3 linked regions of the Saccharomyces cerevisiae S288C genome follow. The protein of the gene in region 1 binds, or shares a complex with, the protein of each later gene. Each region holds a gene or a part of one and is shown in the gene's direction. Other genes may lie near its edges. The genes, in order: SEC20, UFE1 and BET1.

Region 1 (10,939 bases):
ACTAATGGGGGAGTTTTTCACAAGAGCAGGAGATGCAATAAGTAATGGTTTTGAGATCTGTTCTGTACGAGGTGAATGCTCAACTGGGACAAATTTCATCGAAGGTGTTTCTTTTTGCCAAGAAAAATCATCGCTCGTTGTTGTTAATAAACACAACTCATCCTCCGTTTCTGTCGAGTTCTCTTCGTCAAAGTTATTGTTGCCATCGCCAGGATAAGGTGCTACTTTTTTCAATGAAAGACAGACTGTGACGCCTGTAAAATTTATGAAACTTCCTTGGATATAGGGGAAAGTAACAGTTTCACCTTTAGCCAAAACAAAGCTGATGAAGTTTTGGTTCTTTTGAAGAGTTTTTCCATGCGATTGTTTAGTATTTTGCGAGGTCAAAGGCTCTTCTGCCACTAGTTTATAAAAGTTCCTTGTTGGGAAGGGTTTTACCAAATGCAACTGCATGGAGTAAGGCAAGTGAACGGACAACCCATTAGTTCCATTACATTCCAATTTTATTTCATTTCTGTCGGCGGCGTATGAAATAAAAGCGTGCTGCCTAGAGATATTCTTTCTGCATGGCAAAATAATGTTGCAGACTGATTTTTTCCTACCGATGGCTAAACGTGAGGGATCCGATGCATCTAATTCAATCTCGATAGGGCCTGCAAGCACCTTTTCTTGCTTTGAAGGAGATGACAAGGCAGATTTGGTCTCATTTAAACGTGAAGTGATATCTTTCACTGGTGAAGATTGTCTTCCGATGCTAGACGACGGGTCTGGAGTAGGATACTCTTCCAATTCGTAATTATACCGTTTTCTTCCTAAGGTCAATACAGAAGTATTAGCAAGCTTACCAGGTTCTTTTTGTGGGCTTTCCAAAGGTTTACCAGCAACTGGTGATGATGGTGGGAAGAGATGGGACATAACCAAAATTGTGACGATTTTGTCGTGAAACTTCTAGCGAAAAGACTAATGAAATCGGCAAATATTGTGTAAATAGTATACCAAAAAAAAAAACGCTTCTATATATTGTTCCCCGTTGCTAGTAACGATAGAAACGGCAAATAAGGAGAGAAATTAAACTTTCTTGGGAGAGGCAGAAGTGTTTACTTATTCTTCTGAAACAAAAACAAACGCGAAAAAAAAATTATCGCGTTTGGATTATCATTATTTAGACATTAACACCTGTACATATTTGTATTTTAAAAGCCGAACATTTTTGGGTTCTATATCAGTTTTTTTTTTCTTCAAGCACTCCGTACACCACTAATATTATCACTGAGAATCTTCCTGCCACTTGCGGGAAGGATGAGATTGGAAACATGGCTGGAATAGTAAGCATAGGTTACTATAGAAAGCGGTAACAAAAAGCACTACTATGTGTAGATAAAGAACAAAGAGGTAAACGAATATATAAGTAAAGATGGGTAGTATGTACAGGAATTATTAATTGATGAGTCAACGTTCAATCACATCCGGTCTGATTTAGAGGATTACATGAGAAAGAAGCACTGAAAAAATTTTCCACCAGGAGAGGCCAGGTAAACTAAGACCTACGTTATTCACTATGCCAAAAGATTTAAAAATATAGAATGATGAATGTTGCCAGAGCCATTGATGATAAGAAATTGCACATAACGGATGCATAAAGAGCGAATAAAAAGATTTGAGTGTCAATACAAAAAGGTGAGAAGAAATAGTGTAAGACAGCAACACACATCTAGACCGCCAATGAAGTTGTTCTGAATCCAGCAGTAGAGTTTATTTAGTTCAAAGTTTTACTAACGATAATTAACTTTTATGTTTTCATTTTAAACAGAGGGTACTCCTTCATTCGGTAAGCGTCACAACAAATCTCACACCTTGTGTAACAGATGTGGTCGTCGTTCTTTCCATGTTCAAAAGAAGACCTGTTCCTCTTGTGGTTACCCATCCGCTAAGACTAGATCTCACAACTGGGCTGCCAAGGCAAAGAGAAGACACACTACTGGTACCGGTAGAATGAGATATTTGAAGCATGTCTCCAGAAGATTTAAGAACGGTTTCCAAACCGGTTCTGCTAAGGCTACTTCTGCTTAAATTTGATATTATCTATAAGTTTTGTTCTTTCCTAAAACGAAAATAATATAAATTATATATAGTTAATATTAAGCATTACAAGGTTTCTATAAAGCGTTGACATTTTCCCCTTTTGATTGTTGCCTTACAGTCCCATTGAGATATATAATGAATCGGCCTCCTCTAGTGTGGTTAGATCGAATGATTTTGACTCAAGAATAGTTCTTGCCATTTCTTGAAATTTCTCATCGTACTTTACTTGCATTATTCTCCCCGTTCTTTTATTCAATTGCATCTTCAATTCTTCTTCGATATATTCTGGTAAATCCTCAAAGGCATCTTCGTAATAAGAGGCTTGATCCTTTATCGTCAGATCATGCAAACTATCTACAAGGTGTCGATGATCTCTCATTTCTCTTTCGTTTGCTGTCACAGTTTCGGTTTGGCATACGAGAAACCTCCATAGTGACATAATCAATTGGCTTTCTACCTGCTTGATTTGTTCTTCACGCAATTGTTTGAAATGGTCTTTCCATAGCCTATATATTATGGTTAAAGTATGTTCAATAAGATGGCATCTGAGGTCCAAGTTCGGGGAGTCTTGTCCCACGTACCTTTCTATCATTAACGCTTGCTCCCTGGATAAGAATTTAGAGGAGTGGATGAGCATTTCTCCATTTACTATGGTCGCATCGTCTCCATAGATCATTAATAAATTTTCAAAAATATTTAAAACTTCATCTTTTAACTTCAAAAGCCATTTTTCCATCTTGTAACCTATTATAGGGGCAGTGAATTTGTCGCTATCCATCCCAATATCCTCTTTAGAAATTACCCTTGGGACACTTTGCAATCGGTCAGTATAAATCAGCTTTGATATCAATCCTCCCAATTCATTATCACCTATATTTCGGATTAACCCAAAAAAGTCATGGTACTTCGACATATGAAGAGTTGTAGTATCCACATTTTCATTATATACGTCGCCACTCTTAATTTCCTTTTCCAAAAGAGCGTATAATCTTGTAATACAATCTCTCCACCAACTACCGCTTATCAAGGATTTCAGATCTGAGGAATTGTCCATATTTAATATTATACTAGTGATAATATTAACGACCTCGACTGCACTAAATATTACATTTACCATTGGCTTGTATGAAATGGTTAGTGCTAGTTTGTAGACAAATTCAAATGATTTTAGAATATTTTCATCAAAAAATTCCATATAAGTTTGCTTAGGATGCGACTGCAGTACCCTTAATATACCTTCTAGGAGATCAAAGGAATACGAAATTATCAAATAGTCTATCAGTTCATATTGGAAAATCTGAGGTTCTACATGCAAATTCATATTTGATTCATGTATCGGTACTTTCAATACATGATGATAGATTCTTATTAAATCGCAAATAAAAAGAAAACAATCCTTCAGTGCTAAATTATGAGTGGCACTAGGACGAAATTGTACAATCTGATACATCAATGCAACGAGAAATGGGACAGCTAATTTCGATTCATTTGGATGAACTGATATTTCCTTGATCAAAACAGCTATATCCTCTAGCAAAGTATCTATGAACCTGTCGAGGGTCAACGTCTTTTTACATCGCAAAAGTAGAGAAACTATGGACTTCCCTATGGGGGCTCCTTTAGCAATGACGAAATTCTTAAATTTAAACTCTGTGATGTAGTCAAGCTTCAATCTATTTAATATTTCTATTGTGCTCAGGTCAGCGCCTATTATTTGATGAAGTAATATTGACTCTAGAAATAAACTCGTTTCATCGGGAATAATCCTATTTGGGTTTAGGGGAACCATATTTTTTTTCAGTAAATTATCACTTATCTTACGTTTTTTTGATTGTGGTGATTGAGGTTTTGCTTCGATTGCAACTGAGGACGAATCTGGCGTTATAGTGTTTGTGTTTGTTGATAATGTTGTTGACGGTGGTTTTACATTCGTAATAACTTCCCTTTTCGATTTTCCTCTCGCTTCCATCTGTAAGAACTTCTTCTCATCTTCCAGTTTCTGTAATTCTTGTTTTAATTTAGCCAACTCTTGAAGATGCTTGACTTGCAATTCATTAACTTTGACGGCTTGAATATTCTTTTCCTTTTCCCTTTCAATGTTCAAAAAGTTTATTTTATCACGAAGCATGCTTGCTTCACCTTGAGCTTTATTCAGTTGGTTAACCAGTTGGTTATCATTTTTACTCTGTTTATTGTTTAATGTGGTCGTTGTAACCTCCAAAGTAGTGGGAATTTGTGTTTGTAATGCTGCTGATGATGGCGGTATTTGAGTAAACCTTGGAGGCCTGGTGCCTAATTCCAAAAGAATATCATCATCGTCATCTGAAGAAAATTCACCCACCGTTTCTCGTCTCATCTATAATAGAAATATGCAAAAGAGTTTGATGATTGTGTTGACGTTTCGTGCACTATCGCGTATTTGTTTGCTTTTTATTTTATTGCATGTGCTGTTTTCCCCAAAAAATCGATGGAACGCTCGGATTTGGCTAGAGGCGGGAAAAATCACCAATAATCGAAGAAAATAGAAGAACCAAGATACTAATAGCTCTTTGTAAGATAAATTTTGGAGTTACTACAGGTTACTATCCTTATTCAGAGACTTTTTACTGCTTTGCTCCTAATATTTAGTAGGAAAGAGCGAGCCTGTCTGACTCTTTTTTTTTTAAAAAAATTCAAGGTAAAACCTAACTAAACATAAAATTTCCACTCGAGTTATTCCGCTTAAAAGTGCTTAACATCGGTGCCACACAATACGAACCTTAGTAGAGAACCGACCGTTACCTCTTTATTAGCCCTAGTTTGTACCACTTAAGCTCTAATTCCAATCTAATGTGTGTGTATTTTTTTCTATTGTTAGCGCCGCACCAAAGAGGATCATGGTAAATACAATTACATAAAGAAAAGAAAAGCAACAAAACAGCTTCGTTTGCACCTTTAGCAAACGTTGGAATTTTCCTAATCTCAAAACAAGTGGTAAATCTAATCCCACACTAAAGAAAGCACGTCTTTACCAGTGACTTTATCAATAAATCACCTGCACACGCTGTCCGGGTAAATAGAATTGTTACTAAATAATGAAAAATACATTCGCAGTTGTAAAAATGCCAACAGAAATACCTGATATACAGTTAACAAGTAAGATCGGATCACGCTGCCAAGGCGCATAACAAACTATAAAGCCATTAAAGATTATGGTCGTGACATTTTTGCAGGACCTGGAAGTTTTGCAAGATGCATTATTAAATAATTTGCAAAAATTAAGTGCAATCTCCCGCAGAAAAGAAAGCGGAGAAAGCAAGCATGATAATAAGGACAGTTTTGCAGCCATTGCCAACGAACACAATGATGAAGAAGAAGAGATTGAATTTGAGGATTTGGTGAATATTATAGAGAGCAAAGTTTCAGATTTCGAATCGGTACTGAAATGTAGTATTGTGGAAATGACCTACAAATACCCCGAATTAAAATTACAGTGGGAAAAAAGCCCTAGATACGATCAATGCGATAAGTTGCATATTGTGAAGCTTGATAAACAAATGAACGAGGACATATATGCTCAGTTGGTCGAAGAACTGGATTTCGTGTTGCAATTCGTCGATTGGTTCTATTGCTACCGCCTGAAAGTCAAAGAGATTCTACGACAACACCACAAACGTGACTTAGCTTGGAACGACGAGAAAAGAGACCGCGCTATAAAATTTCACGCTGTGGATTACGACAAGCTTCACCAAGGAACGTCGTCATCGTCAAGCTTAACGTCCACATCGATGGAAAAAGCCAGCACTAGAGAGAAGCTTTTGAGCAAAACAAAACAACTGACGAATAACTTGGTGAGAGGAAATCAAATTTTGCAGTCCGGAATTTTACAAAGTGACCTGAATTTGGATGAATTGAGAGCCCAAACCAATTCCTTAACACAAATCGATGACAAGTACACTCAATTCGAAACCGTCTTCAAGAAAACTGCCGATTTGGTCAAAGTACTGGAAAATGCCTCCCATCAAGAGAAACGAGATGTCTATTTATCACTTGGGTTCCTCCTATGCTGCGTCTCGTGGGTTCTATGGCGTCGTATTTTCAAGTTACCTGTTAAACTCGGCCTCTGGCTGCTATTCAAGTTTTTCAAGGGTATACTCGTCACCCTAGGTCTAGTTAAAAGCTATGCAGGCTCCTCGTCCTCTCTTCAAGCACCCAGTCTTGTGCTAAATGCACCCATTCTAGCCACTACAACTACATCCTCAGCAACCTCTGTGGAACCATTCGCATCTGTATCAGCCGTCAGTAGTATCCAGCGGGCTGTCGATGAGGCCGTGGACAGGATCGTCTCACATGATGAGCTATGATAATTTTAACATCTATATAACATAATAAGCGCATATACTTAGTTCTCTCCATCCTCTCCATTTATTTTCTCTCACCATTGTTTCTGTTCTCTTCACATGCGTTAGGTATAGCTTATACCCCCCACTGGTTGCGCTAAATACGCCTTCCCCACCGCATGTGAAAAAAGCTCGACCAAGCTCAACGCGCTGTTGCAAAATGGAAAAAATATAAAAGGAATCAAGCCATAGTTGAGAAAAGACCTTTCACACTTGGGCTTTTCTTTGGCAGGTGTTTGCTCTATTCTTCTCTTTCAGTTTGGTGCGCTATTCAGATTTATTGGTCGTCCTACTGTATACATCTCTTTCATTTTCTTTGTTTCTGCAGTGGGTGTTAAAATGGGAATACACATACCATATCTCACGTCAAAGACATCGCAATCAAATGTTGGTGATGCCGTTGGCAACGCTGATAGTGTAGAGTTCAACAGTGAGCATGACTCACCTTCAAAGAGAGGTAAAATTACACTTGAGTCACATGAAATACAGAGGGCTCCCGCTAGCGATGATGAAGATAGGATTCAAATTAAACCCGTGAACGACGAGGATGACACGTCGGTCATGATCACTTTTAACCAATCTCTTTCGCCCTTCATCATCACTCTGACTTTTGTCGCATCCATATCCGGTTTCATGTTTGGTTACGACACTGGTTATATATCCAGTGCGCTGATCTCGATCGGCACAGATCTGGACCACAAGGTACTTACTTATGGGGAGAAGGAAATTGTCACTGCGGCTACCTCTCTGGGAGCTTTGATTACCAGTATTTTCGCCGGTACTGCAGCTGACATATTTGGTAGGAAACGTTGTTTAATGGGTTCGAATCTGATGTTTGTCATTGGCGCAATCTTACAGGTCTCCGCACACACATTCTGGCAAATGGCTGTTGGTAGACTGATCATGGGTTTCGGTGTCGGTATCGGCTCCTTGATCGCGCCACTTTTCATCAGTGAAATTGCTCCCAAAATGATCAGAGGGAGACTAACTGTCATCAATTCCTTATGGTTGACTGGTGGTCAATTAGTCGCTTACGGTTGCGGTGCTGGGTTAAACTACGTCAACAATGGTTGGAGAATTCTTGTTGGATTGTCACTAATTCCCACTGCTGTGCAATTCACATGCCTGTGCTTTTTACCTGACACTCCAAGATACTACGTTATGAAGGGCGACTTGGCAAGGGCTACTGAGGTGTTGAAGAGAAGTTACACTGACACTTCGGAGGAAATCATTGAACGTAAGGTGGAAGAACTTGTTACTTTGAATCAATCTATTCCTGGTAAGAATGTCCCTGAAAAAGTCTGGAATACCATCAAAGAATTGCACACAGTACCATCTAATCTAAGGGCTTTGATCATTGGTTGTGGTTTACAAGCAATTCAACAGTTTACCGGTTGGAATTCGTTGATGTATTTCTCTGGTACCATCTTCGAAACTGTCGGTTTCAAAAATTCTTCCGCTGTTTCAATCATCGTGTCCGGTACCAATTTTATTTTCACTTTAGTTGCCTTTTTTTCCATTGACAAAATAGGCCGTAGAACCATATTATTGATTGGATTACCAGGCATGACCATGGCTTTAGTCGTGTGCTCTATTGCTTTCCATTTTCTAGGTATTAAGTTTGATGGCGCTGTCGCTGTGGTGGTTTCCTCCGGTTTCTCCTCTTGGGGTATTGTGATCATCGTATTTATTATCGTATTTGCTGCGTTCTACGCTCTTGGTATCGGTACTGTTCCATGGCAACAATCGGAACTATTCCCCCAAAACGTGAGAGGTATTGGGACTTCATATGCAACTGCTACAAACTGGGCTGGTTCACTGGTTATTGCATCCACATTTTTGACCATGTTACAGAATATCACTCCTGCAGGTACATTTGCCTTTTTCGCGGGATTGTCGTGCTTATCAACCATTTTCTGCTACTTCTGTTATCCAGAATTATCGGGATTGGAGTTAGAAGAGGTACAAACTATTTTGAAGGACGGGTTCAACATCAAAGCCTCGAAAGCTTTGGCCAAGAAGAGAAAACAGCAAGTTGCCAGAGTTCATGAATTGAAATATGAACCAACTCAAGAGATTATAGAGGATATATAGTCCTTTCACGAGGTAAAAGGAAGGAGACGCAATTGAATATTCAAATACATAGTAGAAAATAAATAAAAATAAATTACAAGATAGAAAAAAGTTCATTGTATTTAAGTCGAACTAATTGTTGTATGCATATATAGAAGATTAACTAACCCGGCATTGAAGACCTTTTTTTTTTTTCACCTTGAGAGAAATACTGAAAATTTTTTTTGCTGGGATGAGATGAGATGCCTACCTAAAGTATTTCGAAGGTGAAAGCGTTTTATTATAGAGTACTGAAATAAAGCACAATCAGGAATAACAAATTAACTGACAATGGCACCTTTAACCAAGAAGACAAACGGAAAACGTTCTGCTAAAGAAGTTAGTCATTCAGAAAAGAAATTAGCCAAAAAACCTAGAATTTCTATTGATTCGTCTGATGAAGAATCAGAACTATCCAAAAAGGAAGATGCTGTATCCTCTTCATCAGATGATGATGATTTGGATGATTTAAGTACCAGTGACTCTGAAGCAGAAGAAGAAGCTGACGAATTAGATATTTCCGATGACAGTGAGGAACATGAAAATGAGAATGAAGAGAAAGAAGGAAAGGACAAATCTGAAGGAGGTGAAAATGGAAATCACACTGAACAAAGAAAACTGCTAAAAGAAAGGAAAATGCAAAGAAAATCTGGTACCCAAGTGCAACAAATTAAATCCGTCTGGGAAAGATTGCGTGTGAAGACCCCACCTTTACCAAAACAGATTCGTGAAAAACTTTCCAACGAAATCTGGGAGCTATCTAAGGACTGTATCAGTGATCTTGTCTTAAAGCATGATGCTTCCCGTATTGTTCAAACTTTAGTCAAGTATTCGTCCAAAGATCGTCGTGAACAAATTGTCGATGCTTTAAAGGGAAAATTTTATGTTCTAGCCACATCTGCGTACGGTAAGTATCTATTGGTTAAGTTACTGCATTATGGTTCAAGAAGTTCAAGGCAAACTATAATAAATGAATTACACGGTTCTTTGAGAAAATTAATGAGACATCGTGAGGGTGCCTACGTTGTTGAAGATTTATTTGTTCTTTATGCCACACATGAACAAAGACAACAAATGATTAAAGAGTTTTGGGGCTCTGAATATGCTGTATTTAGAGAAACCCACAAAGATTTGACCATTGAGAAAGTTTGTGAAAGTAGCATTGAAAAAAGGAATATTATCGCCAGAAACTTGATTGGTACCATTACCGCATCAGTAGAAAAGGGTTCCACCGGCTTTCAAATTCTACATGCTGCTATGAGAGAATATGTGAAAATAGCCAACGAAAAGGAAATATCTGAAATGATCGAATTGCTTCATGAACAATTCGCTGAATTGGTGCATACTCCAGAAGGTTCAGACGTTGCTTGTACTTTGGTTGCTAGAGCTAACGCCAAGGAAAGAAAGTTAATTTTAAAGGCTTTGAAAAACCACGCCGAAAAATTGATCAAAAATGAGTACGGTAATATTGTCTTCATTACAATTCTGAACTGTGTTGACGATACAGTTTTAGTATTCAAGACTTTCAGTCCTACTGTTAAGGAACATTTGCAAGAATTCATAATTGATAAGTTTGGTAGAAGGCCTTGGTTATACATACTATTAGGTTTGGACGGTAAGTATTTCTCACCTATCGTCAAGAATGAATTATTGAGATACATTGAACTGTCCAAAGCCACCTCTAAGAAGGATCCTTTACAAAGAAGGCACGAACTTTTGTCAAAATTCGCCCCCATGTTTTTAAGCACTATATCAAAAGATTATTCCAGTATATTGACAGAGAATCTAGGCTGTCAGTTCATTGCCGAAGTTCTAATAAACGATGAGTTGTACGCGCAGCTGAATGAAAAAGACCAAGAAAAGTATCAACAGGTCTTAAACAACATTTTAACTACTTTTAAGGGTGACATAACCGAAGAAGAGCACCCAATACATAGAGCATTTTCTACTAGACTATTAAAGGCACTAATTCAAGGTGGTAAATGGAATAACAAAGAAAAAAAGGTCATACCATTAAAAAATGTTCAAGGCTTAGGCGTTCCATTTGCTGAAAAGTTATACGATGAAATTATTGACTCCTCCAACTTGTTAGAATGGATTAATAACGCTGATAGTTCATTTACAATTGTTGCACTGTATGAAACGTTAAAAGATCAAAAAGAAGGGAAACCATTTTTGAAGGATTTGAGAGGAGTTCAGAGTAAAATCACCACTGATGAAAGTAACAAAGGCTCTCAGCTTTTGGCTAAATTGTTAAAATAAATTTTCTACGATAAAGTCACAATATTTGGTATATAAGCATCTGTACAATAATAATAAAAAGCTTGATCTCATTGAAAGTGCAGGTATATATAATTGTCTCCTAA
Region 2 (10,880 bases), on another chromosome or scaffold:
TTGTCATCAGACAACTTGTTGAGTGGTACTAAAGGAGTGCTTTTCATCATCCTTTTGGTGAACGATTTCAAATACGTTAGTGTTTTCTGAGCTAGTTTTGATCAATTCAGGTGATTCGTTATCAGAACTCTCAGGTTTGTATTCGTGTCCAGTTGTGTAGCATTCGCCTAACGTGTAAGCACGGATTTCTTCCTCAGAAATTTCACTGTATGGAATCATGCCCTTCTTTCTCGCTTCTTCGTCGGTAAATGCACCATAGTAATCTTTGTCATCATGTCTAACAGTAATTTTGAATGGGAAGAAGACACATAGCCCCCAGTAAACGAAAAAAGAAATCAAAAAGGAGAAGAAAGAATCACCATAAAAGAATTTAACAATACCTGAGTCGTGGAAATAGTTATTGTTGACTTCCCAAGCGATACCAGGTAGACCGGGAGCCATACCACACACCCAGGCAACGATAGCTCTCCAGTTGACACCCTTGGTAAAATAGTATTCACCCTTTAGAATAAAGGCATTAGTAATGGAATATTGCCTCTTCCTGATCAGAAAGTTATCACAGATCATGACAGCAATAATAGGAGTCATGACAACACCGAAAGAACTCATGACAGTTAAGAAAGTAGAAGAAGAGTTGTAGAAGTTCCATGGCAAACAAGCCCAGGAGATACATGCGCAAAAAAGAGCACCTCTCTTGATATCGACGTATTTGGGCAACAAACCGGCCATATCCATACCAGTGGCAAACCCACAGTTGGAGATGGTGGAGGACATTTGAGACATGGTAAAGCAAAGACCACAGAAGAAGGCACCTGCGCGAGCGCCTGCAGAATAGTTGTTTGTCAACCAATAATCGAATATATCCATGGGCATCCAAAATTGTTTACCGTATAATTTGTCGCAGGTGGAGGCACTAATGACACCGAAGATTGGGACCAAGGTTGCTGGGATTAGTAATGCACAGACGCTACCGGTCCAGATAGCCAAATTGGAGGAACCGAATCTTGAATAGTCACTTTGGTTGGTGGAACCTGGAGAAATGGAACCGAACCAGTATGAAATCATGTAAACCCAAGCCCATGCTCTTTTAGAACCAGTAACGGTAGATTTTGTGGAGGTAAACAATTCACCGACACCATGGGCATTCTTAGTCAAGTAAATCACTATACCCAGCATGGCAAAGCAAGTAGCTACACATGACCAAATTAAAAGGTAGTTCATATGGTAGGGTTTCATGAAATAGCAGAGCGCGGTGAGGACGTGGAAAATAATGAAGCCGACCAACTGCTTGGTGGTCATGGCAACACTTGGGGACAAAGTATTGGGCAGGTGCAGATAGTGGTGGGACCAGGAATCTAATATCATGTTGATAGATAGACCACCCAACCAAGCGTTGGAACCATAATTGACAATACTCATCAAAATTCTAATGATGATACCGAAGGCTGAACCGTAAATGCCAAAAACGAATCTTTGGGCCAAGGTGAAACCGATTTTCCAATCATAACCGGGGTAAGAGTTGGCCATAGTGAAAATAATGGTCAAGACATTACCGAGAAGAAACGAAACAATGGTCTCTGGGTAACTTAGGCCGACACTTAGTGCAGCAGAACCACTCATCCATGTACCTGCTGTAAAGGACACAGCGCCCCAGTACGCCAAATTAGACCAGAACCCCCATGTTTGATTTGCAGACTTGATAGGTTGCAAATCAGGGTTCCTCAGAAAATTCACGGCAGTCCTATTTTTGGCAGGAATTTCTAAATATCTCAAAAACTTAGAGACTATACTACTGAAGCTCATGATGATACAGGTGCTGAAGTCCTTTTTTTGATAGTTATAATGGGGATATCAGTACAATAAAGAATAATATAAATTCTGCAATAGGAAATAATATAGGTAATTGTTCTTGATAATTCTGGAGTTTATAAGATTTTAACTCTATTTATGAGAATAGAGAAGGAAAATTAAAACTACAATAGCGAATGCAAATTTTTTTCCCCGAAGAACAAATAGCGGTAGCAACACATGCTGACGAAAGTTGTGTTCCTCTTTTTTTGGAGCAGGTCTGACTCAACTAAAAAGCTAGCTGCATGCAACCACGCTACATTGGCACACTATATCCTGACGCCCGCGCTATACTCTGACGCCTGCGCTATATATTCTGACGTCTACTCCATAACTATTATAGTAGTGGCCACTGTTGTTCGTAACCCGGCGCGGTGTTCGCTCCGAGCACGAAAATTCTGTCGTTTATTCTCTTCCTTCTTCCAGTTCCATTACTTAAAGGAGCTGTTTTATTTCATTCGAAAGCCCGATGACAAATTCTCCTCTTTCATATAAATTAATAAGGCGGTCAGCAGGAAACTCCTATTGCCAACCGTCTTGCGAACCGACCGGTCGCTGCGCGCGATCATGCGTCCACGCGCTTCTGTGGCGACGGACGACTACAGCAAGACATTACTCTGGTCATTTACGCCTGGCGCCCAGAATGTACAAGCGCAGACGGCCAGATCATATGATGAAACGGAATAGTCCCAGCTATACCGGTGATCACAAGACGTAGTTACATAGATGCCTTGGCGCCGACACGATATTTCTTGTCGTTCTGTGCCAGTAATTCCTTTTCTTCTCGACTATGCCTCTAAGACGTCAGTCTTGGAAGCATAGTCTTCGTAAAAAAATTTTTTTTTTGAGGTTTTTGCTTCCATTTCTTTAGACTGAACTAATTTATTTTTTTTATTATTATTCAGTAATTTTTATATATTTATTTATGGACTTATTGAGGTGCTTTGGGGGTGATGACGTCCCCAGTGAGGCCCCCAGGGTAGTGGACCGCACCTAACTTCCCATTCATGATGTGATTACGCATTTTAATCTTGTCTATATGTTCTACAATGATGGCGTCAGTGCCAATGCCGTTCGCATCTATGAGGGAGATGAACTCGCTCTCGGCCGTTGGGTTTGAGGCGGTGCCGTAGTGTCCGCCTTCATTCCGGCTTCGCGGTGTCTACGAGGCATTCATTTTATGTCGCGGCAACTACTTGATATTTTCCACCAGGCACAAGGAGAAACATGGAGAAATTATATATAGAGAACTATGAGTCCTGAGGCGGCCGTTCAGTAGCTCAGATTGCCAGGGTTAAAAATTGCTCCTTGGCATCCTATGTGCTGCATACTAAAAAATTTTTAGCCACGTAGTTGTATACTTTTGTTTCCGGGGATGAGAAATTAGCCCCAGGTCCCAGACTTACAACAAGGTAGATAGGGGGGCGCACCTTGTCGTCATGAGACCCATTTCGTAGAAACTTGAATTTGTTGTTGTTACTTCTGTTTTCAAGTAGGAGTAACGAGGCCGCGTACAATTTGCCAGTGGATTTGTCGCCTGCAGCAGCGGCCGCGACGCGACGGGTTGATCCAATTTTGTGCTTGCTTCTTCAACTGAATATTTTGAGTCCACTGCATGTGGAAAACAGAGTTTTCAGTCAGTCTTGTATGTATATTATTCTCTTTAGCTCCAGAATTTCTGCTGTGCTTAGTAACTTCTTGCCGTTGAGCTGATTTTAGTAGTATAATTTTTTTGCAACTCTACTGATATCAAGAGCAGTGATATGTGCTTTAATGTTGGCATTTCTTTCAAGCCAATCACCTTCTACCATTGGTCACGGTCTCAGTATATTTGTCGTAAATATTAGTACTCTAGTCTGGTCAGAGAAGTGGCCTTTCTCCCACCAAAACGTTGTTGTTCTGTCTTTTTTCTTATTATTTACTATTTATTGGATTTATCAAAAATTCCTCAGGAACAAGATTTAATATTCTTGAAAATCCTGTATGTCATAAATCATGAGCTTGGAAATTGACACGAAATATCGGATGGCACTACTTGATGATCGTTTTTATCACTACCGCTGTACTTTAATTTCATAATTTATTTGGTGACATTTCTCTTGAAGATCTGGCAAGATGTACACGGGGAGCTCCTTCAACTGTTAAAAATATTTTTAAAAGTAAAGACGTCACCATACTTTTTCACCATAAGAACAATTACTGGTCCAGATTAAGAACGGTTGGAGTAAGAGCCAATTATCATTCATTGACTGGTATTTCCTTTTGAACTATATTATCATATAATAGGTAAGAAGATGGCAAAAAGGAAGGAGAAACAGTGGTCTGATGTGATAGGGAAGTAAATGTCAACAAATACCTAACAGTACTATCTGATCGAACAAAGAAATTCCACCAAACTGTCAGTAAATTTATTTAATGAGCAGCAAGGACATAGTGCACAACTAGCACTCTACTTCGATTGGGTTATTGAGGAAGAGGATAGTATGCCCGGAATTTTCAAGCATTTACATGATTATGGTTTCATTGGGGTGCAAGAAGACCCAGCATGATTAGATTGCTATGTACTCATTATATAATATATCTCCGATGAATATATTTCCGAAAGTTTACTGAAGGCGACCTTGGATAAACCATAGTTTTACGGCAAATACACCATATCACTATTTTCTTTCTATATAGCTTTGCTAAGGCTTTTTTTAGTGACCGAGACAAAGAAGAAAATTTTCCATAAATGAAAGACCATTGTTTATTCCGAATCAAGTTTTCCGAAGAATTGTTGTATTACACAGTCCAGAGACAGCAGAATCTTTCAGAAATTTTAATACTGTTGTGACAGCATCTTGTCTATTATTTATTGGATACGCAAAACTCATTTTTTTAAAATTTTTTTTATAATTTCCTTTAAATAAAAAGGTTAAAGCTGGGAAAAATGCATCTAAATAATAAACTAATGATTTAGTTTCCCTCATTTAAAATATCTAAGAAGGACAGAACTTTGTTTGGGGTACTTACCCTTGAGTATTTTTAGCGATTATTCTTGGAGTTCTCAGCCAGAAGATTAAAAGAATATATGTTACTGAATGCAGTGTGATACTCAAGACTAAGTAGTCTTAACAACAAGTTAACAAGGGCGTGTGGTCTAGTGGTATGATTCTCGCTTTGGGCGACTTCCTGACTAACAGGAAGACAAAGCATGCGAGAGGCCCTGGGTTCAATTCCCAGCTCGCCCCTTTTATTTTTGATTATTTATTTCCTATTGGTCGGGTAACAGATTTTTTTTATTTTTTTCAAGGCCCTTTTGTTTTGTAAACAAAGAAATTTCACAAAGTGAGCGTCTACTAATATTGATAATGCCATTTCCACATTACAACTACTGCTAGGCGCAGGGTTATATTACTTACACACGCATATATATGTTTAATTGGGTATAGAGGGGTTATTGTTTGACCATGCCGAAGAGAAAAATTGCTCCTAACAAGGAAAGCAGCAGGCGTACGGTCTCCCACGATGATTTAACCCCACAAATACAAGAATTTCAAAACCTAATGGATCTCGAATCGCAAAAAGTGGAAAACATCAGACAGTCGTATTCGAGGCAAAACTCCCTGCTGGCCAAGGATAACTCCATATTAAAAATTAAAGTTAATAGCTTGGAAAAAAAAATAAGCCAGCTGGTACAAGAAAACGTGACTCTACGATCTAAAACCTCTATAAGCGAAGCTATCTACAGGGAACGGTTAAGTAATCAACTACAAGTCATTGAAAACGGTATTATTCAAAGATTTGACGAAATTTTTTATATGTTTGAGAACGTACGTAAAAACGAAAATTTGCCCAGTTCGAGCTTAAGAACAATGTTGAAGAGAACGAGTTCCAGGTCAAGATCATGCTCATTGTCATCACCCACATACTCAAAAAGTTACACTAGGTTATCAAATCACGAGAATAACCTGTCGCATGAATCAAGTTTTAACAAGGACGATGGTCCAGATCTTGAGCCTAAGGCTAAAAAAAGGAAGAGTTCTAGGCGGCAATCTATGTTTGTATCCACGAGTTTAGAACCTGAAGACGAAACCGGTGAAAACGAACCCATGATGGAAAATTCCTCTGTAGAGGTACCGGCAGAATCACACGAGTCTGCGCAAGTGGAGGAAACAATAGATGCCTTAAACCCTGAAGAGGAAAATAGCGATTCTGTCAGTAATTTTACCAATTCAATTATAGAATACTCCATACCAGAGGAGAATCCGACAGAACCCGAGCATTCATCTTCTAAACTAGAAATATTCAATGACAGTACAAATATGCTAAGTACAGTGCCGTCAAATCCTTTGCCGTTGCCTTTACCAGGCCCATCCGCAACTTTACCTACTACCACTAGCGATGCTTCAACGGTCTATCCTTCATCAAGTTCTTCTACTAATTCTCATCCAAAGACCAAAATTAAGCATTCCATGAAGCCGCCTAGGATAGAACTGAAGAAAAAGGTTATTGACGAAGTCATGCCCGTAAGTAACATGAGCAGCAACAGCGAAATATCATTTACGAGAACTAGAAGAACTCGTGGTAAAGCTGTAGATTACACTTTGCCTTCTTTAAGAGCCAAAATGAGGAGGCCTTCAGAAAAACTTGTGGATGCTACTACTGTGATTGATATACATGATCTACAGGTTTCCAAGAGAAATCGGGAAACTTCACATAAAAGGAAAAGTTTATCCCAAGATTCAATACCCGACGAACCGCAATTGAGAGAAGTCGTCGTCTCAAAGGATTATGGAACTCCAAAAGGGAAAAAAACGGAAGATGAAATACACGAGGATACCGCTCATCTAATGACCACTTCCAACAACAACAGCAACAACAAAAACGAAAAAAAACTAACTAGCAACAATAGCCCTAAAAAATCGTCGCCTTTACTTGACATTACAAATAAATCGGAGAATAAGAAAAAGTCAACAAGAACTAAAAAATTGTTCAAAAATGCAATTGTCAATAATTTATCTGATGAAAATTCTACTACGCGACCCTCCAAGTCGTCAAAGGGAACCAGTAATAATAACAACAATTACAACAATTTCGACAATAACAATTCAAACATTAATAATGTTAATAATAAATCTGTTAGCTTTAGACTAAATGAAGATGATTTAGCAGTATTTGATTTATTTGGAAATGGTAAGGCAGTGAAACATCAACCAAAAACATATCGCACCAAAAAATGATATATAGTCTTTTTGCCCTGGTGTTCCTTAATAATTTCTATATTTTTGCATAATAAACCATTGTATTATATACATTCGATTTTGTGTGTATATACGTAAGTACATGATTTTGTTTCTCCTCGTGCTGTCAATTATACACTCATTTTCATTTGAATTCTTGGATGAGGATTATAATCTTCAATTTCAAAGTCTGTCAACTTGAAATCATCAATGTCTTTAACGTCCCTTTTAATCTTTAGTTTCGGGAATGGTCTTGGATTTCTGGTGATTTGTTCTTTCAAGGCATCAATGTGGTCTTTATAAACATGTGCATCCCCCAAAGTATGAATGAACTCACCTGGCTCCATGTCGACAACTTTAGCAATCATTCTAGTCAACAAAGCATATGATGCAATGTTAAATGGTACTCCCAACCCCATATCACAAGAACGTTGGTACAATAAGCATGAAAGGCGGGGCTTACCGGATCCTTCTCCTTCTTTGGGGAAACTGACATAGAACTGTGAAAAAATATGGCATGGCGGCAAAGCCATTTTGTCAAAATCAGCTGGGTTCCAGGCACTCATAATGATTCTTCTATCGTAGGGATTTGTCTTTAGTTTATGTATAACCTGTTTCAATTGATCAATACCTTGTCCAGTATAGTCGTCATCGCACGTCTTGTATTTAGCACCAAAATGCCTCCATTGAAATCCGTAAACGGGCCCCAGATCTCCTACTTTCCTATCTTTGAACCCCATCTTATCTAAATATTCACGAGATCCATTACCGTCCCAAATCTTAACACCTTGCTCAGACAATAGGTTAGCGTCTGTATCACCGGCCAAAAACCACAATAGTTCAAGTATGATACCTCTAGTAAAAACCTTCTTGGTCGTTAGTAGTGGGAAGGTATCATCACGTAAACTAAAACGCAGCTGGGGTGGTGCAAAAAGACTCAACGTACCAGTGCCTGTTCTATCTGGCCTAAATTCACCTTCATCAATGATTCTTTTGCATAGATCAAGATATTGCTCTTCTTCTTTGTTTTTTCCGTCCATAGTCATCCTGTACCGTTCTGTTATGAAGCTCTCTCCTTGATACTTTATTGTTTGATATACACAGTCACTTACAAGTTTAGAAAATACAATTACAGCTATGCTATAGTAAATATTTCAGGAAACGCGTCAATTAAGGTCTTTTTCATTTTTTCTATTTAACGCGTCACCAAATATTAAGTTTGAGAAAGAAGGTCAAAAAAGCAACACCTCTTCCAACCTGTTCAATGCGGTCCTACGTTGAGGACACAAAGCTAATCTCTTTGAGGTAGCTGCAGTATAATGACGGGACCTTTGCATATTTTATTGGCCTTTTCCAATGAAACTAATTTTTTAATTGAATCTCAATCCCGTCCTTTACAGACGAGAGGGGAAAGAAGCTTGTTCGCATGATCCATCCTGGAATATGGATACATGTCATGTAATGATAAATCATTCCTACCTTTGCTGGTATCTTTCTGAAAAGGGCACATTTAATTAAGAACTGCCAACAAGGAAAGATCTCCGTTACCCTACCCAACTTGTGAGCTCAGATGAATGAGAATAACTAGAATACATACACATACGTCTAGTATCATTTCCCCCGGTGCTGGGAAATCACCCGTAAAAGCAGTGAAGAGCTTATTAACTCATGATGTCTGATTTAACACCAATATTCCGTAAGTATGTTGCTGTTATCGATGATGCTAGAAATGAGCAAAATGGTATAGATGATCATGTTGAAAGGAAACAAGAGGACTTCGGGAATTCTAATGAAACGTGTGAAATGTTTAGGGATTCGTTTATTAAGGAATGTGCAAGACTATTGAAGTTCCTAGTCGAATTAAACAAGGTAATAAAACAGATTGAAAAAAACTATTTAGATGACTTTAATATGAGTGATGCGGAAAAGGACGAGTTTGACATGGAATGCAGGCTGCAAATTCAACAATATTTCAAAAAGTTTGAATTCCTAGAGAATTACGAAATGGAAAGGCATAATTTGTCGCTGAAAAGATTTCAGTCAAAGTCTCACAGATGGTCAAAAATACTTTCCAATAAAAACGACAACACTAAGCATGTGATACATCCGCAAGACATTGAAAATGGAGTTTATGAATTTAGATTAGGTGTCCTACGGTGTTTGAATTTGTGGATAAAATATGTTTCATCCAAATTCACTACCATACAACAGGAAAGATTGATATTAGAAAATAAAATGAATTTCAATTCAACGCCTATGCCTACTTTATCCAACAATGCGGATGATTTCTCTGCAGATGCAATAGACATCTCAGTGTCACAATCTGCTCCCGTAGAAACTGTACAAGACGAAGTAAAACATTATGAAGAGACGATATCCAAATTAACCCAGGAGCAACTACAAGTGTTGGAGACAGAACATTCGGAACTGCTAAATCAAAAAAATGAGCAATTGAAAAAAGTGGAGACTATAAACAAAACAATTTTAGACATTGTCAATATACAGAACGAATTGTCCAATCATTTAACGGTGCAATCTCAAAATATAAACCTAATGCTGAACAATCAAGATGACATTGAATTGAATATTAAGAAGGGAAATAAAGAATTACGTAAAGCGAAACGAGCTGCTGGAAGAACTGCTAAAATGACCACTTATGGTGCCATTATCATGGGTGTTTTTATATTGTTCCTAGATTATGTAGGTTAATATCACTTTCATAAGATATGTGTAAAATGGGTTAAAAAAATCAATCTATCATCAACTTATTACTATTCATTTTATATATTAAACAATAAGTATGAATGCCTAGTATAATTTCTTAGTTGTAGGATTACTGGCATGCAATTCTGCCAACTGCGATAACCTTATGATCTATTGATGTTAAAACAATATTGTTGGTAATGTATTTGGAATCAATCACATTAAGAGCAAAGTCTGGTTCTATAATTTCGACTTCGACAATAAGTGACTGATTTGGATTAATTGAGATGTCGTTAGTCCCGAGAATCTTCACCAATTTTACCGCGTTGTGCGTCAAATTATGGTAAAGAAGCAATTCAGAACCCAAGTCAACGGGATCACTTAGCGCGTGCGTTTGTATTGATAATTTTATTAAACGCAAGGCTAACAACTTTAGTGTGTTTGGTAAATTCGGTGATAGTGTATTCGTCTTTCTAGAGTGAATTATTATATCACCCTTACGAATGTGAAATTGCTTTTTCGTGAAGTCTTCGGTATTATGAATCTTAACAAGAACCTCTAAAATGTCAGGGTTCAAACCGACTGATATATTATTTTTTGTGTTAGTCTCCAGTATTTGTTTTGAATTCTTCATTCTTGAAACTATACCATAGTAATGAAAATCTTCATATTGTGTATGAATTTCAATTGTCTGGCCTGATTGAATATATCCGCTGTTGATCAAGACTTTGAGTGACACGTAATTTATCTCCGCTATCGGTTGAAGAACAGAAGATTGCAGTATTGTGCCTACAAATGGCTCTTCCAAAGTTGTTTCTATTTTGTTCATATTATGCTCTACCAATAGATATAGTTGCGAAAAAAATGTCGGACCTTCATACCATTCGGGAACATAATTTATAGAGTCAAATTCTGACTTATACTTAGATTTTGTGATGTTTTCAGTTTTATTCAAATTCGAACCTAATAAACCCGAACACGGGATAAATTGGAATTCTGCGTCTGTCCACTGAAAGTTTTCCTTCAACACATAATTTAGCTCAGACTGAATCATTTCTAGTCGGTGCTTATCCCAACTAATTAGATCTGCCTTATTCAAAAGAATTA
Region 3 (10,399 bases), on another chromosome or scaffold:
CCCTTTTAATCTCTGGATCTTTATATAACTCTTGCAAATGTATAGCTATAAATTTAGCTGCAAATTGTTCTAAGCGTTCCACTCCTATTTCCCATGATAAATAGAGTACGTCAAAAACATTGTATTGCTGAATAAACTCTTTTGATTGTGTTATAATTGTAGAAGCGATAGTTTTTAAGCGGTCTTCTAAAAGTATATCGGCAAGTAACAAAACATCGACGGCATACATCCAAGGAATGTCTGTATTATCTGCATATAAGTAGCGGAGAATAATTTCGGCAACCTCAAACTCACAATTGGGTAATGTCAGCTGTGGAATGATACTATTATACTTTCCTGTAACGTGCTTGGCTTTGATATATGTAACTTTCTCCTTGAAGTTGTTTGTGAACATCACCTTGAAATATTCTGCGCGGCTCAAAACAGCCAGGTGACAAGGGTATATTCGAATGGCTCCATTTCGGTTTTTTACCATAAGTTGAACATCCGGATAAGCTGGACAGTTCATCAAGGAAAAAACTCGTCGTTCACTATTAGCAAGATCAACAGTAGATCTAAAGATACAATTGTTCACAAATATTAAAAGTTGACTTCTTGCAACCTCGGTAAACTTATATTGGTAATCTGACATTAACCTCGACTTTTCCGTAGGATCGGCGGTATGCCTTGCTTTGTCTAAAAATTCGGGCAATAACTCAATATCAAATTTACTAGATAGCTCTATAAGTTCTTCATATTGTCCCGGTTCAATTTGGTGCAGGATCGGAATTAAGTAAAGAAATTTCAAAAATATGTCAAATATATCTGGGCGCACTTCAAGAGAAACAATTTCATGCTTTGCCCACTCATTCACCATTTTTTCTGCTAGAATTTCGCTCCTTGCACATAATAAGAACTTATGCGCTGTGAACAGTTTTCCATTCGAAACTCTGAATGTGATATCTCTTTTAAGGAAGCCTTCGTCATTATACATCGATGAGATATGAGTAGCAAAGGGTTGCTTGACATCTACAGCCTTGGATATATCATAACTTAAAAGGGTATCTCTGATAGTATCGGTCAATGCTCCATAAATACATCGAGCTCCTTCATATCTGTCTCTATCACAGACGGCTCCTCTCTGTAGAAGAAGTTTCACGACTGCTTCATGCCCGCAAAGGCTAGCCAGAAAAAGTGGCGAATTGTCAAACTTGTCAACACTATTCACATTTACTCCCGTGGAAATCAATCTATCAACATTGTCCATATCACCAGTGCGGCATGAATAGCACAGTTCTTCAAAATTTTTGTCCATTAATTTATCTGCCATAAATATGCCAAAGGTCGTTTTCAAGTGGTAGTGTACAATTTATGACAAATCTTTCCTGTAGTTTTTTTTTTCTTGTATTTTTGTTTATTGTCAATATGACCATAGAGAATAGTAAGTAAATTGAGTGTCCACATCTACGTAGTCCACGTATTATTATTTTACTTAAAAGGGATGGGTGTTTTAGGAATTCAGAATAAGCGATACCGTTTCTAAATTCTCAATTTAGAAGGTTAGGCAGGAATTGAGTTTCAATATAACCTGTTAATGTCCCTTTTTTTTTATCTTCTATTCTTGACGTCGTTTTATCTCCTTCAGGGTTTCCTGTTTTCCTTCTTGTTTAGCATTGCCTAATTGCTAAACGAATCCCTTTGTTAAACATTTGTAAACCGGAAAGTTGGAACAAATATCTACACAAATCAAATAGCCTTTCTATTTCATTCTAGGATTAAGTCAGCAAATATTGATAAAGTTGTGTTAATCGTATGAATTCGAAGCACATTTCACTACAATGAGACTCTTCATCGGTAGAAGATCACGGTCGATTGTAATATCTTCCAACAACTACTGTTTATCCTTCCAGCGTTTGCGCAGCATACCAGGTGCCAGTTCTCAGCAGCGTCAATTAAGTAAAACTCCTAGCGTAACAATCAAGTCCTACCCTGACACAGATCTTTCAAGTGATAGTAACTATCTCGAAGTCAAAAGTTGCATATTTAATGGATTATTAGGGCTCGTTTGTCTTAATGGTGATATATATGTTGCCGTCATATCTGGTGTTCAGAATGTTGGGTTTCCTCGATGGAAACTGATAGATCATCAAGTTAGGCCTTCGGAGAGCATTTATAAAGTATTGGATGTTGACTTTTACAGCTTAGAAAATGATGTTTTCGACTACCTCCTCTGCGAGAGATCAGAGCAAAACTATGATAAATTGATTCATGAGCATCCTTGCGGCCCCCTGAAAAAACTGTTTAGTGATGGAACATTCTACTATTCTAGAGATTTCGACATCTCTAATATCGTGAAAAACCATGGTTTATCACATAACTTAGAATATACCGTAGATAATCAAGATTTATCATTTATTTGGAATGCTAACTTAGCAAGTGAGGTAATCAACTGGAGAAGCAAGATTTCAAATGAGGAGAAACAACTTTTTGCCAACGCAGGGTTCTTAACATTTGTAATTCGGGGTTATTGCAAGACAGCATTAATAGAAGACGGCCCAAATACAGCCTCTATAACCATTATTTCCAGAATTTCGACTGAGAGCAAGCAGGATACGCTAGAATTGGAGGGTATTAGTGAAGATGGGAGAGTGTCGCTATTTGTTGAGACAGAAATTGTAGTAACCACAGAAAAGTTTATTTTTTCTTATACTCAAGTGAACGGAAGCATTCCTCTTTTTTGGGAATCTGTAGAAAGTCAACTGTTGTATGGAAAAAAAATTAAGGTAACAAAAGATTCTATTGAAGCTCAGGGAGCTTTTGACAGGCATTTTGATAATTTAACCTCAAAGTATGGTGTTGTGAGTATCGTTAATATCATAAAACCTAAAAGCGAATCACAAGAAAAGTTAGCACTGACGTACAAGGATTGTGCTGAATCAAAGGGAATAAAAATAACAAATATAGAATACAGCTCAAGCGTTCTGACAAAGTCTCCCCACAAATTACTTTATTTATTAAAACAGGATATTTACGAGTTTGGAGCGTTTGCCTATGATATCTCTAGGGGCATCTACTTTGCAAAACAAACGGGGGTATTAAGAATAAGCGCATTTGATTCAATTGAAAAACCTAACACAGTTGAAAGGTTAGTGAGCAAGGAGGTACTTGAATTAACCACAAATGAAATTGATGTATTTGAATTGACTTCCCCATTCTTGGACGCACATGATAAGCTATGGTCAGAAAACTATTACTGGCTTGATCGAACGTATACTAAGCACACGAAGAATTCTGGTAAATATACAAAGGTTTATTCGAAGTTATTTGGTTCCCGAGTTAGATTATACGACCCGCTCCATATCTACATCTCTCAGTATTTAAAGCAATTAAGGTCAAAATATACGTTTGAGAAAGACATCTCAATTTTTGCAGGTACATTTAATATAAGTGGTAAAATTCCAAAAGATGATATAAAAGATTGGATATTTCCAAAATCAATGTCCAAGGAGGATGAAATGGCTGATCTTTATGTTATCGGATTAGAAGAAGTGGTAGAACTTACCCCAGGTCATATGCTTGCTACCGATCCATATGTCCGACAATTTTGGGAGAAGAAGATATTAACACTATTAAATGGGCCCGGACGCAAAAAAAAATATATCCGTTTATGGAGTACACAGTTGGGTGGTATTTTACTATTATTATTCATGAATGAAACGGAATATTCCAAGGTAAAGCATATTGAGGGGGATGTTAAAAAAACCGGGTTTGGAGGAATGGCTTCTAATAAAGGAGCTGTCGCGGTTAGTTTTAAATACTCAGCTACAAGATTTTGCGTACTAGTATCTCATTTAGCGGCAGGCTTAGAAAATGTTGAACAAAGGCATAATGATTATAAGACGATTGCGAAAAGCATACGATTTTCTAAAGGATTACGAATAAAGGATCACGATGCAATTATTTGGATGGGCGATTTCAATTACAGAATATTGATGTCAAACGAAGATGTTAGACGAAAAATTGTTTCTAAAGAATATGCCAGCCTATTTGAAAAGGATCAACTTAATCAACAAATGATCGCAGGTGAGTCTTTTCCATATTTCCATGAAATGGCGATTGATTTCCCACCTACCTATAAATTCGACCCAGGAACTAAAAACTACGACACGAGCGAAAAAATGAGAATACCAGCATGGACTGATAGGATTTTAAGTAGGGGAGAAGTACTAGAACAGTTAGAATATAAATGCTGTGAAGATATACTATTTTCCGATCATCGGCCCGTATATGCCATATTTAGGGCTAGAGTGACTGTAGTGGATGAACAAAAAAAGACTACTTTGGGTACGCAAATCTACGAGAAGATTATGGAAAGGCTAGAGGGATTGGATGATGATGAGAAAATTGCAGTTTTGAGTGATGATGCATTTGTTATCGAAAGTTTTGAGGGCAGTGATTCGATAGCTGGCCCTACGCATTCTCCGACACCAATTCCCGAGCCCAAAAGAGGTAGAAAGTTACCACCACCTAGTTCGGATTTAAAAAAATGGTGGATTGGAAGTGGGAAGCAAGTTAAAGTAGTTCTTGACGTAGACCCGGCCGTTTACATGATTAATCCTAAAAGAGATCCCAATCCATTCGTTGAGAACGAAGATGAGCCACTTTTTATAGAAAGGTAAGTAAATGATCATTAGTGAAAAGATTATATATAAATATATTTATTTAGCGTTCCTTCCCTATGCGGCTGTGAGCGTACTCTCTATTTTTGGCTGGAACTTTTTGCCAAATCATTGTTGTCCCTGTGTAGATCTTCTAACTGAACTAACAGAGAGTCCATTTTCTTTTCCATTTCATCCAACTTAAGTTCGACTTCCGAGATTTTCTCTTCTCCTCCTTTTAGTAGGTTCAAAACATCTAAAATATCCTTTGCGCCTGCAGTACTGACATCTTCGGGTGTATCACGAGTCATATTATTGACGACGAGTGAAGTGTTCTGCGATTTCTCTAGAGTAATTGATTCAGTTGCTCTTTCTCAAAATTGTGTGATTAAATATTATTTCTTTGTCAATATTTACCCGGCCTTTTAAATTTGTATCACCACTTGAAGAACATGCTGCAGTTGCCGGTTAGCTTCTAACCACCTTTCGATATAGGAATCGAAATAGGAATCGAAATTTATTTCTAGGCCCAAGGATCAAAATATAAGTGTATATAAACACACACACACACATATATATATATATACGTACATGCATAGGAGAGGATCTTATTTTGGAGATTCTATCTGGGGTTGCTCGTGTTTATCCACAACAGGGGTTGTAGTGTCTTGTTTCCTCAGTTTCTTCATTATTTCTTCAAAAATGGGACAAAGAGATGATTCTCTGTACATTTCTACAAGCGTTTTTTTACTTGAAACTTGATTCTCAATCATTTCTACAAATTTTGGATCTATAGGAACGTTACCAAGGTATGGGACAGAAAATTGCTCCGATAATCTTTTACCACCCCCACTGGAAAAGATATTTGTACACTCAGCACAATGCGGGCATACAAACCCTGACATGTTTTCAATTATACCGAGGATCTTTAAATCGACCTTCTTGCAGAAATTGATTTCTTTTTTGACATCAGCTGTTGCAACACTCTGTGGGGTAGTTACTACAATACCACCATCTGGTTTGGAATATCTCAGCTCCTCTGCAATCGATATATGTTCATCCGACGTTCCCGGAGGGGTATCGATCAGTAAGTAATCCAGTTCACCCCAGGCGACGTCAGAGATGAATTGTTTTATCATAGAAGTCTTCTTAGGACCCCTCCATATCACGCTGTTCCCTCTATCACCTAGTAGAAACCCCAATGATATTACACTAAGAGAGCCAGTAGAGTTTGTCTCCACTTTCACAGGTTGCCAACCTTCAGGACCTTGATATATAGATTCGTTCTCTAGGCCAAACATCCTCGGTAAGGATGGCCCTGTTAAATCAATATCTAAAACTCCAACTTTGAAGCCCATACTGCAAAGAGTCAGCGCAGTCTGTGTCGTTACCGAACTTTTACCGACACCACCTTTTCCGGAAAGGATCAATATGATATGTTTTATTCCTGCCAAAGAGGCCGCAGGAACGCCTATCTCCTGTTCCTCCATGCTTAATTGTAATAGTCGTATTAGTTTTGGGTGCTCCTCGACGCATGTGTATAGTTTTCATTTTGATGGTGTAAAACGTTCATGACTAATGAAGCCTTCCGATTTCTTTCCATTTTGCTATTACTTGCGCGATGAGCCGTCTAATGTGATTCTTCCAAATAATATCTAATAAACCCATGGTGTTTACTCTGTGATAGGAACCAAAGATCCCGTAATTATCGCTTTGTAATTGTATTTCCAGTTATTTCTGTACATTCTAGGTTACTGTTCAGGGATATGTTTCACTCTTATCGATGTGGCGTGCAAAAAATTTGAAGGGGCGACATATCAGGGAAAGTATTAGTGATTTTTTATAATGTTGCACTATCTCAGATGAAATTTATGCATGCTAATTGGCGGATACTACTCTACCGTTGTTGCAAGCTACGTAGGAACGTTCACGGCTCTTTCTTCCATTAATTTTAAATTGCGAAAGTATCCAGTAGTTGTTAAAAATGGAGTTTTTTCAACTCGCGCCTTTTGCCAAGGAATGGTAGAAAACAAACAGTAGTTCACTTGAGACTGTGAATGTGTTAGAAAATGTGATTGAAGAGCCTCACAACACTAGGCTACACAGATGAGTTCAAGGTATGAGAAATTATTAGACTATTCTAAAGTTAGAGTAGCGCTTTTTGTTAAACATCTACCATAACACCTCGATATTGGGAGTTATTGACCACGAGTGAACTTCGTTTACTAACTATAGCGTGTGTATATAGATTTGCAGGGGGAAACGCTTATCAACGTGATACTGGTAGAACACAGTTATTCGGACCGGCTGATGGATCAAATAGTCTCGATGACAATGTATCATCAGCGCTAGGGAGCACAGATAAATTAGACTACTCCCAAAGTACTTTGGCATCTCTTGAATCTCAAAGTGAGGAACAGATGGGAGCTATGGGTCAGAGAATAAAAGCACTCAAGTCATTATCGTTGAAGATGGGTGATGAGATTAGAGGCAGCAATCAAACTATTGACCAGCTTGGTGATACTTTCCATAACACTTCTGTAAAACTCAAAAGGACTTTTGGAAACATGATGGAGATGGCCAGAAGATCTGGGATCAGTATAAAAACATGGTTAATAATATTTTTTATGGTAGGCGTGCTATTTTTTTGGGTATGGATTACATAAATATTTGCATATTGTACATTAAACCTAAGTGACAAAATAAGAGCGACGTTTGTTAGATGATTGTAGATATTGATACGTGAAATAAAGGATAGTTATGATAGCATCATAAGATATCAGCATTCTTTTATTTTTATAACTACTTAAGCGTTTAATCTTGATTTTTTTTTTTCTCCATATTTCCTAGGATACCGACAGCGTTCCTTTTCGCCCTATAGTGTTTCCTTACTTTGTATCTTCTGTAAATAGATGGACCTTTGAGTATTGCGATAAACAAAACAATAACAATTAAGTAACCGGGCATGCCGTTCCCGTGGATTATGTCTAGGAAACTGAGGACATTATGGAATGGAGAATTTATCAATCTCCCCTTCAACTTAGAGCTGTATAGAGCTTTTGATGGAATATTTAAGGACACGAATGCTTCTCTCAGCAATTGAGGGTTGTTAGAAGTCAAGGAGTTGCCAAAATTATCTTTATTGTAGTAGTAATTATTTGATTTATCAATGATAATCACATCACCAATTTTATATTCTCCAGTAATACCATATTTTCTAAAAAAATTCTTCTCCTTTGAAATATCTAAATATCCTAATAACAATTTTTTTTGATCCATATGGGGAATCTCTTCACGCATTTTATCAACAATTTTGTTAGCCGGAGCCTTTTTTTCCTTTATTTTCTTGATCCCGTCTGCTTTCCTTGCCCTTCTCTCATTAATTTCTTCGAAGTTATTTTCCATCCGAATATGTTCATACTCCCAACTTGCGAGGAGCAAGTTTTTAATAAGCTTGTTGCTTCCTTTGATATGTTTGTGGTCAGTGCTACTTATTAACTGAATTGCTAAATCACTGTAGCTCTTGGTTTGGAAGGAAATTAATTTTTTCAAATTAGAAGAGTCAACTTCGGTAACTAAGGGATTAGAATACTTTTTTACCCAATCCATAATGGCATCAATATTTCTCATTTCTGTTGTGGAGTATCCGGGGAAAACATAGGATATGGGATCACCATCTTTAAACATGAAAAAAGTTGGGAGTTGCGTAACCGTATTCATAGTAAAGTATTCTTTGTTAAAAACCTTTTGAGTTTGGCTGGCGTCGTAGTTGATCTTTTCATACATTCTTCCAAAAAGATTACGTGACAAATTTATTAGATTCTTGTCAATTTGGTGCAAATATATGTTTGGAATTTTTGACAAAGGCTCGATTAAATACTCCAAAATGTCAAAATCTTCAATAACAACAGTTTCGGGGTCATATGAAAAAACTAAATGGATATCATTATTAGTTACTCGTCCCCTTTCTTGCAGAAAATCAATGTCTCTGTTTGCTTTTTTTTCGAGCTCCCCTTCTGTTATATTGGGAAATTTACTGTTTGTAAAAGTCCTCCTGGCAAAATCTACATAGCCATCTGACTTCGCTGAGTAGCCATTGGGATAGTCGAACAAATTATTTGAGGTTTTATTGGGTAGGACTAATGCTACCTTGGGTTCTCTATCGGCTCTGTGGTTGGTTATTTTCACCAAGTCGCCAAAGCCCAGTTCTTCACAGATTGTTGGATTAGATTCGCAATTAACGTGGCCCGTGTTGATATCATCCACGGCTAACTGTCTTGAAATGATCTTCCAAGTCCTTTGGAATTCATGGCATTTGTCACAGTTTTTGAATTCTAGTGAATCATCGCTATTTTTCATATCTTTTGTTGGCCAGAAGGAAACCAAATGTGGCCTAGTCGCCTTACCAGCGATCAGCTCGAGAAAATCAAAGCCTTCGAGATACTGGCTCTCACTTTTAGCAGAATCCAGATCAGTATCGAGGTTATTTGGGTCCATAGACTCCCTGCGTGCAAATGCAATTAATGATTCTTTGGTCCTCGGTGTTTCAGTGAACGATTTGATGTATCCTGAGGGGTTATAAAGTCTAATTTCAGGGAAGTATTCAATATTTTCATCTCCACACAAATCGGCGCTCTCGATGCAGTTAACCTGTGAAAATGTTATGTTCAGTGTTTTGCTCTCCTCTTTAAACTCCTCCCATGTTTCCATCCAAACAGGTGCTAAATGTTTGCAGTGCGGACAGTATGGACTATAGAAGTCAATAATATGCAGCCCCTTAGATAGCTCTTCTTTGAAGTTTGTTGGATTTAAGGGCTCTGGAAAGCCCTCTGGTGGTTCAGCGGCGGCTATAGTGAATTTCAGCAGAAAGGTGATGCATGAGAAGAAGGTAACTACGAGCCTTTTCAGATTCATTTTCATGGCTGCTGCCTTACAGCTAGTTTTTATAGATAGTATTTTTCTTTCCTGGATAGAATTTCTTGAGGAAAATAAATAAGGAAATGAGTATCAACACGAGGAACAGTACAGGCGCCTTCTTAGTGCTATGATCTTCACTGGTTTATGCTTTACGTCTTTATCGCACTAAATTGAAGCCATTCATTTGTTCGCACCTATTTCCGCTTCAAAAATAGTATTTAAAAAAGAGACTATTTTGGTAAGGATAAGCTAAAATAGTGCCAAGAAAACGGCCAATGTAGAATATTGTCAAGACTATGAAAATGTATAAGTATATTTTGTCTATAGAATCATGTGGGTGTATATAATGTGTGCGCAAAGCATTTGGTGGGCTGTTCGATGCAAATCCTTTTAGTATTAGGAAAAGAGAGGCTTACCTTATTTGGTATATTTACAAGCTGTAATACCTAAAATATTAGCGCAGGCATATTCATAGCACACTCAATGTGTGGCGTGTGTGAATTTTAAGGCTTTAAATTACCATAGTGCTAATATTTTCTAGGCGGTTTCTGAAATACTCAAAGGACACTAGAGTGATTGCCGAGGCCGGAATGGTTCGTACTAGGTTAGTAGTAAATCCAGAATAAAATCCCTTTAGTCCCTCTTGTGCATAAGTTGCTTTAATGAGGGGGAACAGACGTCGTTGAATGGAATCTGGTATATCTGATTTCAGTTGCATTCTGGTTCGTAAAATTTCGTGCGGATATGTTACTGCTGATGCAATCATCTTAGAGACGGACGATGCCATGATCAACCGTTGCAAGTTGATGGAGTTGGTGTTGTTCTCCCGAGAATAGCAGTGAAAT

The links.
Region 2: SEC20 (region 1) and UFE1 share a complex: the UniProt entries of both Saccharomyces cerevisiae proteins name them as parts of the SNARE complex.
Region 3: SEC20 (region 1) and BET1 share a complex: the UniProt entries of both Saccharomyces cerevisiae proteins name them as parts of the SNARE complex.

What each region holds. Positions count from the first base shown.
Region 1 is NC_001136.10:1,441,329-1,452,267, reverse strand, and holds SEC20 (Sec20p), read left to right. Parts: upstream 1-5,273; coding exon 5,274-6,425; downstream 6,426-10,939. Other genes in the region: PLM2 (Plm2p), read right to left, coding at 1-915; 60S ribosomal protein eL37 RPL37B, read left to right, coding at 1,415-1,421, 1,811-2,070; LCD1 (Lcd1p), read right to left, coding at 2,195-4,438; myo-inositol transporter ITR1, read left to right, coding at 6,801-8,555; PUF6 (Puf6p), read left to right, coding at 8,865-10,835. UniProt on the Saccharomyces cerevisiae protein: SNARE required for targeting and fusion of Golgi-derived retrograde transport vesicles with the ER.
Region 2 is NC_001147.6:459,474-470,353, forward strand, and holds UFE1 (Ufe1p), read left to right. Parts: upstream 1-8,738; coding exon 8,739-9,779; downstream 9,780-10,880. Other genes in the region: NRT1 (nicotinamide riboside transporter), read right to left, coding at 7-1,803; YOR072W (uncharacterized protein), read left to right, coding at 2,029-2,343; YOR072W-B (uncharacterized protein), read left to right, coding at 4,996-5,157; SGO1 (Sgo1p), read left to right, coding at 5,298-7,070; CDC21 (thymidylate synthase), read right to left, coding at 7,202-8,116; SKI7 (Ski7p), read right to left, coding at 9,904-10,880. UniProt on the Saccharomyces cerevisiae protein: Syntaxin required for targeting and fusion of Golgi-derived retrograde transport vesicles with the ER.
Region 3 is NC_001141.2:344,850-355,248, reverse strand, and holds BET1 (Bet1p), read left to right. Parts: upstream 1-6,743; coding exon 6,744-6,754; intron 6,755-6,885; coding exon 6,886-7,303; downstream 7,304-10,399. Other genes in the region: YIL001W (uncharacterized protein), read right to left, coding at 1-1,309; phosphoinositide 5-phosphatase INP51, read left to right, coding at 1,818-4,658; CMI7 (Cmi7p), read right to left, coding at 4,739-4,948; iron-sulfur cluster assembly protein CFD1, read right to left, coding at 5,246-6,127; protein disulfide isomerase EPS1, read right to left, coding at 7,452-9,557; YIA6 (NAD+ transporter), read right to left, coding at 10,066-10,399. UniProt on the Saccharomyces cerevisiae protein: SNARE required for targeting and fusion of ER-derived transport vesicles with the Golgi complex.